Linked DNA regions of Callithrix jacchus. The protein of the gene in region 2 interacts with the protein of the main gene of each other region in a biochemical or structural test. Links are inferred from orthologs where the notes say so. Each region holds a gene or a part of one and is shown on either strand. Other genes may lie near its edges. The genes, in order: ATRIP and ATR.

Region 1 (4,249 bases), on a different chromosome or scaffold from region 2:
GTCTCTTTCCAAGACCAGAGTCCTGGAGCAACTGAGCATGCAACATTTGGGCAGCTGAGGGAGACTTACCAGTTACTCCAAAAAACTTTAAACTCCTTAGATGTTGTAGACCCTGATAGCAATCTCCCTTTCATTTAATCTTCCTTTTATATAATGCCTTCACAAACACTCCTAGGACACTCATGAGTAAAGTTTGGCATTGAGCAGGTCAGGTAAGGCTGAAAGAGTCTTGCTCCTGTTACTCTACACCGCCAATTCTCTATTGCAGCTAACTGTTCTGCACACCACTGCTGCCCAGTAAAATTTGTCAGTCACGCAAACCCAGCTCAAATTGCTGCTCCTTTGTGAAATTTTACCTCTGTCTTCGCCTCAGCTAACTCTTACCTGGCTTTTGTGTGGCCTCCCTCTCATGTGCCAGCCCTCTATCTTGCTAACTTCACTTAACCTATACGTCAGCCCAGGTGCCATTTACAGGGGGACTACTTTGACCTCTTGAGCCTCATTCCATACAACCAGAGCTTAGGAAAAAAACATTCCACCACTCAGAGGAATTAATGTTAACAGCCTGAGCAGCTCCCACCCCCTCCCACACAGGAACATTTCCAAACATCACTCCTCCTTGGACTTTTCCTCCCTGTACTTTCCTCCTCCCTGGGCCTACCTCAAATGTAGGCATGTGAAACATTCACTATTCCCGAAGGTGTCTGCACACGACAGCTCTATTCATACTCCTCACCCATCATATTCCACTCTCCGCCTCAAGAAAGCCTCGGGGTTTGTGGGAGGTGGGTCTGCCGGGAGAACGAAAGCGAGGTCTCAGAGACCACATTCCTGAATGCTGCCTGGCTCGACGGAAACGCAACATGCGTGACTGCTAGGGCAAGCTGCTCCTGCGCGGCCCTCCTCCACGAAGTGCCAGGGAGAGAACGCAAAGCCACCCGCGCGACGGAGCTGGTGCGCCTCGGATCCGCCCGCCTCTCCGATAACGCGTCGCGCCGCACCTAAGTCTTCGTCGCAAACCTGCAGAACCTCTGCCCCTGACCTCGGAGCAGCCACCTAGCCGCCCGGGCGTCCGCGGGGCGTGGCGGCGCACTCGGACGTTCGTCATTCTTCCGCGTCCCACCACCTGCCGGCTTATTGGCCTCTGAGCCGGGGGCGGGGCACTCGCGGCGGAGGCTAGCGGCGGCGCGCGGGCGGTTGGTCCAGTTTTCGGGGCTCGCTGCAGGCAAGTCAGGCTCGGCGCCGTCTGATACTTGGGGCTAGAGGTAGGCATGGCGGGGACCTCCGCTCCGGGCAGCAGGAGGCGAAGCGAGCCCCTGGCGCCTCGCCCTGGACCGCCGCCCCGCACCGAGCATCCCCCGAGCAAGCGGGCCCGGGGCTTCTCCGCGGCCACTGTCCCGGACCCTGACGACCCGTTCGGCGCGCACGGGGACTTCACTGCCGACGACCTGGAGGAGCTTGACACCCTCGCGTCACAGGCCCTGAGCCAATGTCCAGCCGCGGCTCGGGACGTGTCCAGTGAGTGCTCCTCGCGGCCTTTTTCCCGGAGGGAGTTGCAGACCGCTCCAAATCCCCCTGATGGCTGTGCCTTCGGAACCTCGGGGCCAGCACTTCCCTTTCGCCTTTTTAAAATATGGGAGCACCCTGATTTAAGCAACGGCTGTCTTCCAAAACGGCTGTCCTTTGATTTTAGGGGGAAATGCATCATCAAGGTCAAACAGCCGATTTGAAACAGAAGCTAGGTTAACATTTTATTTTCTAAAGTTTGGGCCACTTCATTCTTGATTCTAAGCAGAGATCCTGATCCTTGGAACACACCTACCACCACCATCATCATCACTACCCATGCATGGGGACCCATTCTTGTGACAAGTTTGAGAGGCTTTAGATCTTATGAAGCCCACTGTCTCCCTTCGGCAGTGTGAGCGTGGGAGGAGCGTGACACAGGCAAGAGATGAAATAAATTTATTCTTTTATACAACCAGTAAACTGTGCTAGGTGCCCAAATGTGAGGAACTGCAGCTGACCTAACAATGAACGAAATACAAAAACTCTGCCCTTCCTGGAGCTTTCATTCTGAGTGAAGCCTCAGGGACTCCCAGAAAGAGAAAGGTTTTGAGTGCACCTTGCATTTGTACTTGGCTGTCTCAAGGCATCTTAAACTCAACACAGTCATTTCCTGGAAACCCAGTCCTCCTTCAACATTTCTAGCATGGTGCCGGCAAAGCAGACATTCACACTATGATGACCAGATATTCCACAAGGAAGTAACTAGAACCACTCTCCAACCAGTGGCACAAGGCGACTCATCCCCTTTCCTTGACTCTACATCTAATTTCTTTGCAAAGCCTGTCAAGCTTACCTTCTTAATCCATCTCTGGAATCTATCCTGTTCACATCACTTCTGCCAACTGCCTGATGTATGCTACCATGAGTCCTCCCTTGAACAAACAGTCCACTAAATTGGTTTCCCATTTCCAATCTTGACTCCCTACAAGTGAGGCTTCACATCACATTCTGAGTGACCTTTTCAAAACTCAAATCTGGCTGTGTCTTACACAGATATACCTGAACACCCCTAATTTTATTTATTTATTTAGGTTTTTTTTTGAGATGGAGTCTCACTCTGTCACCCAGGCTAAAGTGCAGTGGTGCCATCTCACCTCACTACGACCTCCACCTCCCCGATACAAGCAATTCTCCTGCCTCAGCCTCCCGAGTAGTCTCAGCCTCCTGAGTAGCTGGGATTGCATGCGCCCACAATCGCACCCAGCTAATTTTTATATTTTTAGTAGAGATGGGGTTTTGCCATGTTGGCGAGGCTGGTCTCGAACTCCGGACCTCAGGTGATCTGCCCACCTTGGCGTCCCAAAGTGCTGGGATTACAGGCATGAGCCACCGTGCCTCACCATGAACACCCCTATTGAAAGCCCTTTAATGATTTCCCACTGCTTCTAGTATAAAGACCAAAATTTTTAACATGGCCTGCAAGGTCTAGCCTGGTTTGGCCCTTTCTCACTCTCTGGGTTCTGGCTACACTAACATTTCTTCATTCTTTTAATTCTTTCTGCTTCCTTACTTTATACATTGCTTTCTTTGTACATTGAGTATACTTTCTATTCATTCATCTCCAGTCATCTGGTTAATTCCTACTTGTCTTTCAGCTCCCAGCTCCTTCCAGTCTTCTTTAGGGAAATGTTCCAATCATCTCACTTAGGGCAGATTGCTGTCCTGTTACAGGCTTTCCTGTATTTGTTCTCTTCTACAGTTCTTATCACAGTTGTAATTTGACATCGATTTGTGTGATTATTTGTCGAATGTCCTTAAGCTCTGTGAGTGTAAGGACCATGTCAATTTTGCTCACCATTATACCTTTAGAGCCTAACATCATGCCTGGCATATTGTTTGTGGTCATTAATTATTGTTGATAATAAATAGATCACTTGAGTTCTGGCCAGTGAAATCTCCACAGCACCTTTCAGGCTTTAGGTGAGACTCTTGGAATTGGGTGAGGGATAGGGAAATAGTGATAGGATCTGTTATTTTAGAAGATCGTTTATGAGTTTTGGCTGGGCATGGTGGCTCAAGCCTGTAATCCCAGCACTTTGGGAGGCCAAGGCAGGCTGATCACTTTAGCCCAGGAGTTTGAGACCAGACTGGCCAATATGGTGAAATCCCATCTCTACTAAAAAATATTAAAATTAGCCAGTCATGATGGCAGACACCTGCAATCCCGGCTTCTCAGGAGGGTAAGGCATGAGAATCACTTGAAGCTGGAAGGCAGAGGTATCAGTGAGCCAAGATTGCGCCACTGCGCTCCATCCAGCCTGGGCAACAGAGCGAGACTCCGCCTGAGGGAAAAAAAAAAGAGAGAGAGGACCACCCTGGCCAACATGGTGAAATCCCATCTCTACTAAAAATACAAAAATTATCCAGTAATGGTGGTGGGCACCTATAGTCCCAGCTACTCAGGATGCTAAGGCGGGAGAATGTCTTGAACCCAGGAGGTAGAGGTTGCAGTAAGCCAAGATTATGCCACTGCACTCCAGCCTAGGAGACAGCAATTGTTTATGAGTTTGAACCATGTTCTTAAGCTGGAAAATACCTGTATTACTTACTAGATCTTTCTCTGCTTTGTTCTCAAGAGTAAATTTTCCCAACACTTTGGGAGGCAAAGGCAGGAGAATTGCTTAAGCCCAGGAGTTCAAGACCAACCTGGGCAATGTAAAGAGACCCTATCTCTACAAAA
Region 2 (3,819 bases):
CCCAGCTACTCAGGAGGCTGAGGTGGGAGGATCACCTGAGCCTGGGAGGTCAAGGCTGCAGGCTGCAGTGAGCCATGATCACGCCACTGCACTCCAGCCTGGGCAACAGAGCAAGACCCTGTCTCTTTAAAAGAAAGAAAGAAAGAAAGAAAGGCCGGATGTGGTAGTTCATGCCTGTAATCCCAGCACTTTGGGAGGCCAGAGTGGGTGGATCACCTGAGGTCAGAAGTTTGAGACTAGCCTGACCAACATGGTGAAACCCTGTCTCTACTAAAAATCCAAAAACTAGTTGGGCGTGGTGGCGCATGCCAGTGATCCTAGCTACTCGGGAGGCTGAGGCAGGAGAATCGCCTGAACTGAGGAGGCGAAAGTTGCAGTGAGCTGAGATCACGCTATTGTACTCCAGCCCGGGCAACAAGAATGAAACTCCATCTCAGGAAGAAAAAAAAAAGAAAAGCACATTTCTGAAGAAGATCTTAGCTTTATCGTTAACCTTATATTACAAGATTTAGGGAGTACTTTCCATCTTTTCAAAAACTTGAGAATGAGTTTCAGCTTGCTGCCTAAACAAATTTATCTTCTAGGTATTTTTAGAAATCTCATGCTCCCTAAAAGCTTATACTCCATTACCACTGGAAAGTGGACAAGAAGATACACTCTATAGTTCTCAGTTGGGCAAAGTAATCTAACTATTTGAAGTTCTCAAGGTCCAAGGTGGTAACTGCGGACACATTAAGAAGGTCTCTGGTGTCCCTAAAGAAGATATAGAATATTGAATCTTACAATATTGAAACAACCATCAGGTATGCCCCATTTAGGTTGTCAAATCACAAGAGTATTCAAAAAATCCCCAAATCACCTCTCCTATGGGTTCTGTGATCTATCAAGCATGTAACTTCCTATAGTTTTTCAAGGCTTCAGCCTAATTCTTTTACTGATTTGAAAAACAGAGCTTAAATGGGTTTTAAAATATTAAATAAGTCATAATCACTCACCAAGTTTCACTGGACTAGGTGTTTTTTTTTTCAGTAGAAAAAGGAAAGCCTTGCAAACAGAAGCTTTTAGTGGAGAAGATGAACATTCATGTTGAGAAGTGGCTTTCAAGTTCCTACAGAAGAGGTCCACATGTCCATGTCCAGAGAAAGGTTCTGTTAAAGAACTTGTCAGATAAAACATGCCATCAAGAGTACAGACAAGCTGACCAAGTATAGAAGCAAATTCTTTCTTGACAATGTCAGAATCATCTTTGACTTTATCTCTGGGGGAAAAAAAAGAAAAAGACTAAACCTCCTTGCCTAATTTTGTGGTATAAATAGTCTTGCTTAATTTGGGACTAAGGTACTGGTAAAACAAAGTCTAGAAGGAAAAAATGTTAAATTCTAAAACTAAAAGCAACATTTGCTTTACATATTCAACAATAAACATAACTTTGCATATACAGCCAGAGAATTATGATCTTTCCAATTGAGTAATATATTCAAATTAAAATCTTAGTACATACATAAGAATCTTAGGAATTCTGTTACAAGAATTCTGCTGCTGCAATAAGATAAAAAATCCACGAACACAACTAGCCCGGATTACTTCATGGGAGCTCTGCAGGGCCCAGTTGTAAACTGCTGTTCTCCATTCAAGGAATATTCTTCTTGGAAACAGAGTCAAAAGAAACGCACATCGTGATTGTGCCTGTGGTGCTGAAAAAAATTAAGTCTATTAAACAAGATTTCTACTAATGTTAATTTTACATATACACATATACATATACACACATACATATATAAGTAACATTTGTGTATATATATAAAATAAAAGTCAATTAACTCCAAGACATTTTTTTCCCTAGAAAGCAAAAATTTTGAAGTCTGCTAAGTATCAGTGAGGATGTGGAACTCTCATACTCTGCTAATAGGAGTGTAAACTGGCCTATCTTTGGAGAACAACACAGCAGAAAAGTGGTGAAGATGTATAAACTCTATAACCCAACAATACTACTCCTAGGTAGACAGATATGTTAAAATAGTACTTCTCAAACTTTGATATGCATATGAATTACCTATCTTGTTAAAATGTAGATTCTGATTCAGTAGGTCTGGGTAGAGCATAAGATTCTCCATTTCTTTCTTTCTCTCTCTCTCTCTTTTTTTTAATGTGCTCTCTAAGCAGAAACAGGGATGCTCCATTTCTAACAAGTCCCTAAATGGTGGCAATGCCACTGGTCTGTGGACCATACTTTTCAAACAGCAAGACCTTAGAATGACTAAAGAATAATTTACAAAAGTATTCATTTACATTTTGCTTATAATTGAGAAAAGTTGGAAACAACCTGATTGTCCACCAATAGGAGGTCTGATAGTGTCTAGCCATACATCTAGCTACTATTCAGAAGTTTAAATAAAATACTAGAGTTACCCATATCACCATGGGATAAGTCTTATAAAGATTAAATCATAGAGGGACAACGGGCTTCCATTGTATCTCTAATATTTTTATTTCTTTTTAAAAAAAAAATTTCATGAAGAGAGGGAAGGGTGAAGTGAAACTCACTTCAAAACACTGTAATGGTTTTATTTCTTTTTTCTTTTGTTTTAGAGAGAGTGAATCATTCTGTCGCCCAGGCTGGAGTGCAATATATAATGTTGGCTCACTGCAACCTCTGCCTCCTGGTTTCAACAGATGCTTGTATCTCAGCATCCCTAGTAGCTGGGACTACAGGCACGAACCACCACACCTGGCTAATTTTTGTATTTTTAGTAGAGACAGGTTTTGTCATGTTGGCCAGGCTGGTCTCAAGCTCCTGACCTCAAGTGATACGTATGCCTTCGCCTTTCAAAGTGCTGGGATTACAGACATGAGCCTCTGTGCCTGGAGTAATGTTTTTATTTCTTAATCTGAGAAGCTAGTATAAGAATTTTTGGTGTATTGTTCTTTTTAAAATATTTCTCGCCAGGCACGGTGGCTCACGCCTGTCATCCCAGCACTTTGGGAGGCTGAGGCAAGTGGATCACCTGAGGTCGGGAGTTCAAGAGCAGCCTGACCAACATGGTGAAACCCTGTCTCTAAAACAAAAAAAAATTTCTCAAATATTTCCTAATTTTACTAATAAATATAAAAATATGTACAGAAACACTGCAAATGTTTTACAGAAAGGAAATGGGATATATGGGACAGGCTTTTATAGGTGGTACTTTTTATGTATCTAACTCCCTTCTGATTTATTAAAAATGTACCTGCTCTCTTATTGAAAAAATATAAGTGATAAGTGTTAGAAGTCCTATACAGAGATGAGTTAAAACAAATCACACTGAGCAACAGCTGAGTATGGCGGTTCACGCCTGTCATCTTAGCACTTTGGAAGGCTGAGGTGGGCAGATCACTTGAGGTCAGGAGACCAGTCTGGCCAAGAGGATGAAACCCCATCTCTAGTAGTAATACAAAAAATAGCTGAGCATGGTGGTGGGCACCTGTAATCCCAGCTACTCAGGAGGCTGAGGTAGGAAAATTGCTTGAACCCAGGAGACGGAGGTTGCAGCAAGCCGAAATCATGCCACTGCACTCCAGCATGGGTGACAGAGTAAGACCGGTCTCAAAAATGAAATGAATAAATAAATAAAACAAACCACACACAAACATATTCTTGTGAACACTTACAATAGCTGTCTGAAATCCTCCGGCTTAATGTTAGAAGACTAGTGGCAAATGTGGTCAACTTTAAACAGCCATCATCAGAATGGGAATAAATCCATGGAAGTGAGAGCATTCCACACAAATCTTCCAGAATATGATCTTCAAATGAACTGTTTACTACAGAAGCACAAAATA

The links.
Region 1: the proteins of ATR (region 2) and ATRIP form a complex in vitro, tested with the Homo sapiens proteins (4 studies listed by BioGRID and IntAct, with this or other methods). The link is inferred for Callithrix jacchus from reciprocal best matches to the Homo sapiens genes ATR and ATRIP.

Annotation. Positions count from the first base shown.
Region 1 is NC_133516.1:31,091,243-31,095,491, forward strand, and holds the start of ATRIP (ATR-interacting protein), read left to right. Parts: upstream 1-1,162; 5' UTR 1,163-1,271; coding exon 1,272-1,518; intron 1,519-4,249. UniProt on the Homo sapiens protein: Required for checkpoint signaling after DNA damage. Required for ATR expression, possibly by stabilizing the protein.
Region 2 is NC_133518.1:42,054,121-42,057,939, reverse strand, and holds part of ATR (serine/threonine-protein kinase ATR), read right to left. Parts: intron 3,802-3,819; coding exon 3,649-3,801; intron 1,695-3,648; coding exon 1,502-1,694; intron 1,259-1,501; coding exon 996-1,258; intron 1-995. UniProt on the Homo sapiens protein: Serine/threonine protein kinase which activates checkpoint signaling upon genotoxic stresses such as ionizing radiation (IR), ultraviolet light (UV), or DNA replication stalling, thereby acting as a DNA damage sensor.